Linked DNA regions of Caenorhabditis elegans. The protein of the gene in region 1 interacts with the protein of each later gene in a pairwise test. Each region holds a gene or a part of one and is shown in the gene's direction. Other genes may lie near its edges.

Region 1 (4,788 bases):
GTCCCGTTTTCTCGTTCCATAAACAATTTATGATTGGAAAAAAAAACATTTCCAGTCGCAGGTTTTCTAGATACCTGCTGCAATTTATTCGTATCACTTACTCCGTTTGAAACAAATACTTTTTTCTAGGAAATTTTGTAATCAAGGGTTCAAATTCTACAATTGCTGATAATAAAAATATTTGCATATCTATTTTTTTCTGAAAAGTTTTGAAATAATTGTTTTTTGATTAAAAAAAACGATCGGAATATTCAAAGCTCCTTTTTGGAAGAATTTCTGCTTGTCTTTTACATCAAAAGTATAAATTTTCCTGAAAATTGTACCCAAAATTGAAAATTTTTCAGAATCCGTAAATATTGTTTTTGTTAAAATCCATTTGTCCAAGGTCACAACTTGGTAAGTATCTCTTCTTCTTTCTTTCTCTCTAATCATGTCTTTTCTCGTGTTCTATTCCAATTCATTCTTTTCCGTGTGACACTTCCAAAGAGTCTCTCTCTCTCTTCAATTTCCGTAAGGACGACGTCTTCATCCATAAACAACTTTTCACTTTTCCTCACGTCGCCGGCCCGTTTATGACCGCATCGTGCGTCCACCATTTTCACCCATTTTCCCCTAATTTCCTTTCATTTCAAAATGACCCAAGCATTGTCTCAAGGCTCCCTCTCACTCTCTTTTGGTCATTTTTATAAAACAAGTAAAAGCAATAGTGAGCCAACAGCACCAATTTCCTGCTCTTCACGCATTTTGTATCCATGAGCCATTTTGTTTCGGCGCACAACGAGCTGTGCACTTCTTATAGTCTTCTTTCCAATGGCTTCTTCTATTTTTCTTCCATTTCATTTTTGCGGACAACATCCACTAGGAAATGCATTCCCGCGCACTGCTGCCGATATATATGTACACAATTCAAACACCGGCCACCCAATATGTTTGCATTTTACAAGTCCAATCTGTTCGGTTACCTTTTTTCTTCTTTGCTTCACACCCACACAATTTCGGTTCTCATTCAAAATACTTATCTAGCTGACAGACAGTTTTTGGTTTTTCACAATTGATAGTGTAGCCATGGTATCTGACTATAAGTTTTGAAATCTTTTAAATTTTAGACGCGACAAATATTACCGTCTTATGGTGCTAAAATGTCCAAATGCCAAAGTTATATTTTTTGTTTTAATTTTCGTAGATACGAGTTCATATTTTGTTATATTTAAATTATATTTGTTCCAACATCCCAGGTGTTGCAGTACTGTTTTAAACTTCTCATTGTCAGAAAGTCCAAGTTTTCGAAAATTAACCTAAATTCATTATTATTCAAAAATCTAAAAATTCATTTTTGTCATTTTGGATAATTATATATGTACCAAGACAATTTTTTTAAAATTAGATTTAAAGTGCACCAAGAGCACTGACCTTTTTACTTTACTCGCAGCAATTTCTGAAACAGCTGCAATTTGTACCAGGTGCATCTTTCCCCAGCTTTTTTGTCCGGCTATCGTCCAGCTGCCATTTTTAAGATTCTCCTTCGAACACTTTGATTTCATTCCCTTTCAACTCCAGATGGTACTTGTTTTCAAGATTCCCAGTTTTTTTGTTTTCCATTTTCCCCCATTTCAACTACTTTTCTCCGGCATCTTATAATCTTCATGTGATCATCGTGTAATTATACGCTTATTTTCTTTTTATTTTCCAACTTTCACTTCTAAAATACTATTCAATACTCAGCTTAATGATTCGCAGAATGCCGTCGAATATTCGAGAATCTGATGCATCTTGTCTTGAGATGATACGATCAATTATACGATCAACAGCAGATGATAATTCAAAATGGGTCGAGATTTTTGTGGATTTTGAAAATGCACAACCAACAGATGAAGAAAGGGAAATATATAATATGGCTGAAGAAGTATTAAATGATTGTGATTTAGTACTTGCTGATGTATCAAGTTATGGAAATGGTACGTTAGATTTTTATTTTTTAGTAGACTTGTAACATCAATTTTCAGGTTGCTATGCAGAAAGAAATCAATTAAAAAATGACAGTGATACTCAAGCTTTAAAAGTTTTAATGACAAAGCTTGAACCATTTGTTGCCAGAACATGTTCCTACTATGAACATGTTGCAAAAATTGAAAAAATCGTACCAATAATTCTATGGGAATTATCATCTGGCCCATTACCTCTCGAAGAACAACTTGCAAATAAACAATCAATTGCCAAACAGTTTGCACGATTAATTGGATTTGTATTGGACTTTGATGTCGTAAAAGTATGAATTCCACTTTTCCAATTAAAGAAAAAAATTTAATTTCAGATGAGAACCGCCCAGATAACAAATGATTACAGTTATTACCGACGAGCAAAACATATTGTTTATCAGGATTTTGAGTAAGTATTTAATTTATTTGAAACAATCTAATATAATTTTAAATTTGTAGAGACCAAGGAGTTCCCGAATTACCACAAGTTCAAATGTTTCTTTGTGAAGGAAATCCAATGTTAAAAGCACTTTGTAATGGTGTAGATTCGTACATGCAGACACATCAAAGCTTGCCAATTAACAATACAACTGATGTTTTTGTAACAATTATCAAGTGAGTTTTCTATAAATTAAACTGAAAAACATACTTTTGGAATATATCGTAAACTCCATCCGCAATTTATGGAACACAAGCAAGAAAATGGAAATCTTTTAAATATCGTGATTAAATAATTTTTAGTGTTATGAAAAGTTTCAGTCAACGTTTTGGAAATCTGACAAATCTTTCAAAAATACTTCCAAAATTATGAATTGATCTTCTTTTTCACTGCAAATGAAACATTAACTTTTTTTGGAAAGTTCTTGGTCATTTTTGCACTTTAATAGTGATTTTCAACTACTTTTTTCACTGATCAGTCATGAGTTACGATATGATGAGTTACGGTAAAATAAAATTGTATTAAAATTTTCAGCGTTTGCCGATTCATGTTAGCAAATGACGAATGTCTGGCACGACTGACAGATTCATCGAAACATCTTTGCTGTCGAGTGATGACTGGCCTTGTAATATTATTCGATCACGTAGATCAAAATGGTGCATTCGTGTCAAACTCATCAATTGATATGAGAGATGTTGTCAGGTTGATCAAACTAAATACCACTCCTGAACAGGTAAGCGTTTTTCATATTTAGAGTTTTCGTGTAGTAGAGCGAAAATTGCTTATATCGTTTTCCAAACATTATGGGGACGCAGAAAAATGAAATGAAGGGGCAAGCTCGCTCCAACGCCAAACTATGAGTCTCGTTAGGAATTGACAGCATTAATTCATACAATTTGAAGTTGTTTTTAATGATTTTTGTTTCAAAATTATTATTTTAAAAATGCATGTGACAATGAAAATCGAATTTTTTTTTCGTTTATAAATTTTAATTCATCAATTTCGGACTGAAATTAATTTAAAAGAATAGCGGAAAGCATTTAAAGCAGACGAAAAATGTTTGAACATGTTCGAATTTCTAGTTTTCTGCGAATACCTAACGAGACCCAACAGTTTGTCCGTAAAGCGCGATTGCAAACGCGCTTTCAAAATGAGCATTTTTCTGCGCTTCCATAATAAAAATTAGAATAAAATTGAGCAACCCATATTAATTGTTTTATTTTCAGTCTGATTGTCTACTTGCTGGTCTTCGTTTCACAACAAAACATTATAATGATTCAAGTACTCCAAAATCTCTTCGTCATTTGATTGAAGTGAAATAATTTCATTTTTTGTCAATTTGTTCATTAATTCTAGTCATCCTTGCCTCTATTTTATGTTCTCTTATCGTTTCTAGTTGAAGCCCATTTCCTCATACACGGTGATTATGTTCCTCTCCTCGTCAAACAGTACTTTTTGTCAGTGATAATAATTATTTTTCGTTCCAATTCACCCACTCATTAATTATTTTTCTCAATGCCTTATGGTTCCGGTTCTTCTTTTTCTACAACACCCACTTGTATACTTTTCAAGATCTTTTATAAACATCTTAATTTTTTATATCACACCTTTATTGTTTTGGATCGCAAATATATAACAACAATATGTAGAAAAATTAAAATACAGAGTTGTTCTGGAGAAAGGAGGAGGGAGACACAAAACGTAGTGGATGAGAAAACAGTTTAAAATGGGAAATGGATGTGTGAAGGCAGAAAAGCACAAAAAAAAGGAAAGAAGAAAAACAAACTGGTCGGTATTTTTGAGCAGCAAATGAAGAAACAAGCGACTCGGGATGTAGTTGGTTGTGCTATACAACACCTATTATATAATTATAAAAAGAACCATGGGAAAGGAGAAGGCGCATTACGTAACGGTGTATCCGGACTATAAACACGTTTTGGGATAAAAAAGAAAATAAAAACGACGACGAAAATGTTAAAGAGGAGGTGTCATTGAAAAGAATGATAGTTAATTTGGATGAACTTTTAAAAATTTTCGAGGGGATTATTCGATAAAAATTCGAAAACAGATGAGAAACTATAAACTGCCCTGCTTATCGAAATTCTATACGAAACAATTAAAAAATTCTGGAATCATGCTCATCGAGATTCTACTGGATAAGTTACAGGAGACGAATTGAAGAAAATCATCTTCTATGATGCTGTCAAAAATAACAGCAACCGCTTCTCGTTTGGCATTTTTCAGGGAAATTTAGAAGTATGAGAAGAGTGGAAGTCGGGGGCTAAGAAAATTTGGACATAGAAAGAAAAACACAGTCACAAAACAGAGGAAAACATGGAGACAAGGAAGACGTTCCTAGAGAATATTGCACTT
Region 2 (6,199 bases), on another chromosome or scaffold:
CAAAATCATCTGAGCCTCAACCAAATTTTATTGGATTAATACACGTAAAAGCTCGATTATATCTATAATTTTTAACGGTAAAACTGCGAAATATTAAAAAAAATTCGATTAAAATTTCGATAAATGCCGGAAATTCTGCGAAAATCTATCAAAAACTTAATTTTCATGCAAAAATAAATGATTGAGGCTGTGGCTACAAACTACAAAATCCTGTGAGCCTCAACCAAATTTTTTTTTGAATGAATTTAATTAAAAACTGGATTATATCTATATTTTCTGACGGTAAAACTGCAAAGTATTTTTTAAAAAATGCGCTTAAAATTTCGATAAATTCAGGCAAATCTATTAATTTTCATTCAAACAAATGGTTGAGGCTGTGGCTACAAACTACAAAATTTGCAACTTCGCCCCGTTGTACTTTTTGGGTCAACAAATGCAAAAGCCCAGCAATATTGGCAGCAGAATCAATAGACTTATGTCTCTCGTATCTCTCTCTCTCTCTCCTTCTGGTTGTCTGGTGACTCACTGCGTCTCTAACTATTTCAATGATATTTTCAAGCTTCCGATCATATGTTCACTTACTTTCATTTGTGTCAGACGACTGCACCGTACTTTTTTACTTTTTCACTCAAATTTCACCTAAAAACTTGCTTTGTTTGGCAAATTTCAATTAAAACCAGTTTTGGTGAGGCTCAGGCTAAGTTGTAGTTTGTAGTCACAGCCTCAACCATCATTTTCAAAGTTTTTATCATTTCTGAGCTTGATTAATTAAAAAAAAACAACTTTTTCTACAATTTTTTGGTGTTTTCGTCAAAAATCGTGTTTATTTTTGTTTTTTTTCGAAACAAAATTTGGTTGAGGCTCAGATGATTTTGTAGTTTGTAGTCTGTGAGCCTCAACCATTTTCTCGCGCAATTTTTTTTACGAAAGTGTTGTAATTTTTTGTCTCGAAAAGCGAAATATTCAATTTTTATTCAATTTTCGAATTAAGATTTTGAAAAATTCAAAATTTTCGGATGTTTCTTGTGAAATTTCCGAATTTTCGGCATGTTTTTTGAAAAATTTTGTTTTTTTTTGTGTTTTTTTTTCTGAAATTTTCAAGGAAATCTTAATTTCAGCTTTTTTTATTCAGCATCTGTGAAAAAACATCCAAAATAACGTTTTTTTTAATTAAAAAATTGGTTGAGGCTCAGAAATTTTGTAGTTTGTAGCCATAGCCTCAACCAACTCACATAACGCTTCTAGCCTCATTTTCTCTCATTTTTCTTCGTTTTTTTTCGCATTATGACCTCGATTTTTCGAAACAAAATTTGGGAGAGGCTCAGACGATTTTGTAGTTTGTAGTTTGGAGACTTAGCCTCAACCACCTATTTTTTGCATGAAAAATTGTGTCTCTTAATCGACTTTTCAATATTTCCTGCGTTTATATAGCTGAATTCACACAAAAATATCATTTTTCTTAAGTTTTTTGCTTTTACCTTCGGAAATTGTGGAAATAATCCCTTTTGTCAAATAAAGTTTGGTTGAGGCTCACAGGATTTTGTAGTTTGTAGTCTGAGCCTCAACCATACAAGTATATTTTCTTTGGTTTTTAGCAGCCAACACTACTCATTTCACTTAATTTAAGTTGTAAACGCCAAATTTTTTCAAATGAAATCTGGCTGAGGCTCAGATGATGTTGTAGTTTGTAGCCTCAGCCTCAATCATACAAACTATTTTTTTCTTTGATTCTGAGCAGCCAAAACGACGTATTTCACTTTATTTTAGTTGTAAAAGTCAGATGTTTTTTCGAATAAAATCTGGTTGAGGCTCAGATGATTTTGTAGTTTGTAGTCTCTCAGCCTCAACCAATATCGATTTTGTTGGATTTTCTCTAATTTTTCTCGATTTTCTCTCTATTTTCACTGTTTCCTTTATATTTCCTCTATTAAATACCACTTTTCCAGAACCATGGCATCAATAGAAATGCACTCATTTACACGTGACATGCAGCCTCTAATGGAAGAATCTGCCAACAATTTCACCGAAGAAAAAGTGAACACGGCCTTTGGAGCTATCAAAGTGTCGATTTACGGAGACCGTAACGATCCGAAAAAGGTTCCGATGGTCACTTTTCATGATCTTGGGCTTGATTGTGAGCTTTTAGCAGAAAAATTGAATTAAAATCGTACATTTTGCAGCGGAAAGCAATTTCCAAAACTTTTTCCAATTCGTGTCGATCGCCGAATTCGCCGACAAATTCTGCATCTACAATGTGAATGCTCCGGGACAGGAAATGGATGCTCAGCCGCTTCCGGAAAAGTATAATTTCTCGAAAATTCTTGCCTTTTTCCATGTTTTCACACAATTTTTGGAAAAAAAAATCAATCTGCTGATTTGGTTGAGGCTCAGAGACTACAAACTACAAAAATCCCACAGCCTCACCCAAATTGAAATCTTTTGAAATTAGACTATTTTTTTCTTAAAATTAGCAGTTTTTGTGTAAATTCCCCATTTTTAACACAATTTTGGGAAAAATTTAAAAAAAAAACCAAAACTTTTTTAAAAATAAAATGACTAGAAAATTCAAAAAAACGTTAGAAAAATTCAATAAAAAAAATTTTAACGTTTTTCTCCCGACTTTCCCCGAAAATTTCTAAAAATTCCTTTAAAAAACGTATTTTTATCGAAATTTTCAATATTTGCGTTGGTTGAGGCTCAGAGACTACAAACTACAATAATCCCACAGCCTCACCCAAATTGAAATCTTTTGAAATTAGACTTTTTTTTCTTAAAATTAGCAGTTTTTGTGTAAATTCCCCAGTTTTAACACAATTTTTGGAAAAATTTTTAAAAAAACCCAAAACCTTGATTTGGTTGAGGCTCAGAGACTACAAACTACAGAAATCTAACGAGTTTTTTAAAGTTTTATTTTCTGGTTTTTCAAATTTTTTAAGCTAAAAAGTATACCAAAATGTTTCAAAAACGTTATAAAAACTCAAATTTATAGAAATTTTCAGACGATATTTATTATTTTTATGGATTTTTTCTTTAATTTAAACCGACAACAATTCGAAAAAGTTTAAAAATTTCCCAAAAACGTTAGAAAAATTCAAAATTTAAACGTTTTTCTCACGATTTTTCTCCGAAAATTTCCAAAAATTCCTTTAAAAAACGTATTTTTATCGAAATTTTCAATATTTGTGTTGGTTGAGGCCCAGGGACTACAAACTACACAATCTGTAAGCCTCACCAAAAAATGTCACATTCTTGGTTGAGGCTCGCACACTACAAACTACAAAATGTTTAGCCTCACCAAATTTTTCTCCACGTGGAATTCAGTAGACTTCCCAAAATTTTGACCTTTTTCTTTCTTTGAATTTTCACGTATTTAGAAACTCTATTTATAACTGAAAATTAGATAATCAAATAAAATTATCTGGTTGAGGCTCACACACACACTACAAACTACAAACTTTCTGAGCCTCAACCAATTTTCTAATGTGAAAAAGCGTTATTTTAGACGTTTTTTCATAGATTCAGAAGAAAAAAAGATGAAATTAAGATTTTCTCCGAGAATTCAAAAGTTTTTTTTCCAAATTTTCATTACAGTTTCACCTACCCAACAATGGACGGAATCGCAAAAACGATCGAATCAGTCGCCGATCACTTCAAACTCAATCAGTTCATCGGATTTGGCGTGGGCGTTGGTGCAAACGTACTTCTAAGATACGCAGCTCAAAACCAGAACCGCGTCATCGCTCTCGTCCTCGTCAATTGCTGTTCTGGAAAGTCGGGATGGGTCGAGTGGGGATATGAGAAATGGAATACATCGTATCTTCGTAAAGTTGGCATGACAAAATTCACTGTGGATTATCTGATGTGGCATCATTTTGGCAGAAATTATGATCGTTGCAGTCCGGATATCGTTCGTCAGTATCGTGTCTTCTTCCAGCACCTTCCGAATCCGAATAGCCTCGCCGAATTCATTGAATCCTACATTCAACGGACCCCACTCCCTATCTCACGTGACGGAACCACCGGTGTTCAGCTTAAAGTCCCTGTGCTCCAGCTCGTCGGAGCCGGAAGCGCTCACGTTGAGGATACGGTAGAGGTGAATACGAAGTTGGACCCGGCACACGCCGATTGGATTAAGATATCCGATTCGTGTGGTCTTGTGCTTGACGATCGACCGGACGCTGTGACGGAGAGCATGATGCTCTTTTTGCAGGGATTGGGATATTTTCCGACGCTTAATGTGATGAAGATGACGAAAAAGATGCAGGAGACGCAGAATGGAGGCTTTGCTGCCGTTGCTAGCAGTGCTAATGAATGTTGATTGTATTTTCTCTTTTTTAGGGGAAATTTGACTGAAAATTTGAATTAAAAAAAAAAAAGAAAAATGCCAAAGAGTTCCGATGGGGTGAGGCTGAGCCAGAATTGTAGTTTGTAGTTTCTGAGCCTCACCCAAATTTTGAAGCGATTTTCGTGGAAAATACATTTATTTTGGTCGAATCCAAATATTTTTTTTGCGGAAAAATCGAATTTTTCAATTTTCAAACTTTTGTTTTCTAAAAGTCATGTTTTTTGAATAAAAAATCGAAAAATCGACCAAAAACTGCGAAAACCATCCACTGATTTGGTTGAGGCTCAGAGACTACAAACTACAAATATTCCACAGCCTCAACCAAGGCTTTTCGTTTAAAAACTCGAATTTTCAGTAGATTTTTCCCGATTTTCATCTACTTTTCCCCAAATTTCAAATGTATTTTCACCATTCTATCCTAAATTTTAAAGAAAAATGCCAAAAAATTCCAATTGAGTGAGGCTGAGCCAGAATTGTAATTTGTAGTTTCTGAGCCTCACCCAAATTTTGAAACACTTTTCGTGGAAAATTCGTTAATTTTAGACGACTTTTTATTTTTTTTTTGCTGAAAAATCGAAATTGTAGCATTTTTCATAGAATTTTTCTATATTCAAGCTTTTCATGTGGAAAAATCTGAAAATTATCAGATTTCTATGAAATATTTCTTTCATGAAATTTCGTCGAATTTACACATTATTTTTCGAAAATGCTAGCTTTTTCCCAGATTTTAGACAATTTTCGCGAGAAAAATCGACTAAAAACTACGAAAACCATAGCTAAAACCATCCACTGATTTGGTTGAGGCTCAGAGACTACAAACTACAAAAATTCCACAGCCTCACTCAACAATTTTTCGCTTAAAAACTCGAATTTTCAGTCGATTTTTCCCGATTTTCATCTACTTTTCCCCAAATTTAAAATGTATTTTCTCAATTTTTGTCCTCATTCTACACCTTTCTTTCGAAAATTCCGCTACTTCTGTCTCTCCCCGCTCTCTCTACCGCATGTGTGATCACCATTCTTTCTCTTTAGCTTTATTTCGTAGAAGCAGCAACGCCATATAATAATTAAAAATCGTCGTTATTTTTCTTGAAATTCTCTACGCATTTTACCCCATTTTTTCGTGTTTTATCTCAATACGATTCCTCTGCAATGCCTTTTTTTGCGTTTCCTTTCAATAAAATGAGATTTTTATTTGATTTATATTACTTCATTTTCAGATTTTTGATTTCAGTACTAAAATTCCTCGAATATACTTTAAAATTAGCTATTTATTCTGGTTTTAAACGGGAAATTCCCTTCATTTCCCCCTCGCGGCCACGCGCGTTTTCCAAGGCCACCGGCCGTGTAGTCCTCTCGGATAACTTCGAATTTAGACATTTCCGCAGTATTTTGCTAAAAAAACCGAGTTTCAGACGGAAATTGAGCATTTTTAATGGATAATCCGGAGAGTACGGGTGACGTTTCGTGGTTTGAGCTATTCGTCGACCCAACATGCATCTCAAAGTCGCTTTTGGACCCGGAAAAGAGAAAACGTAGGGAAAAATGCTCGTTTATGCCTGAAAATTCATGCTTTTCCATTGCAGAACTCCCACGACTATGTATGCAATTCACGGATAAAGGATTCCTCGCCGAACGGGAAAAAGATAAAGGAAAATTGGCTGTCGAGGAGCTGATGCTCTTCGAGAGAAAGGCGGCAAGTATGAGATTGTGTGCGATGGCCACGTTTGCCGCGTTGGATTATGATATAGAGTTTATTATTGATAAGTGAGTACTTGATTGAGGTGAAAAAACGAAGAAAAATGAATGAAAATGAGGCTAGAAGAGTTCTGTGGGTTGGTTGAGGTTCACAGA

What was found.
Region 2: the proteins of R07G3.8 (region 1) and ndrr-1 interact in a two-hybrid assay, tested with the Caenorhabditis elegans proteins (one large-scale study listed by BioGRID).

What each region holds. Positions count from the first base shown.
Region 1 is NC_003280.10:7,617,463-7,622,250, reverse strand, and holds R07G3.8 (CYRIA/CYRIB Rac1 binding domain-containing protein), read left to right. Parts: upstream 1-1,737; 5' UTR 1,738-1,738; coding exon 1,739-1,955; intron 1,956-2,003; coding exon 2,004-2,266; intron 2,267-2,311; coding exon 2,312-2,385; intron 2,386-2,435; coding exon 2,436-2,591; intron 2,592-2,949; coding exon 2,950-3,148; intron 3,149-3,641; coding exon 3,642-3,737; 3' UTR 3,738-4,013; downstream 4,014-4,788. Other genes in the region: cdc-42 (Cell division control protein 42 homolog), read right to left, coding at 4,771-4,788.
Region 2 is NC_003279.8:13,469,933-13,476,131, reverse strand, and holds ndrr-1 (Protein NDRG3), read left to right. Parts: upstream 1-1,946; 5' UTR 1,947-1,950; coding exon 1,951-2,134; intron 2,135-2,180; coding exon 2,181-2,301; intron 2,302-3,591; coding exon 3,592-4,318; 3' UTR 4,319-5,540; downstream 5,541-6,199. Other genes in the region: ints-8 (INTegrator complex Subunit homolog), read left to right, coding at 5,781-5,880, 5,932-6,112.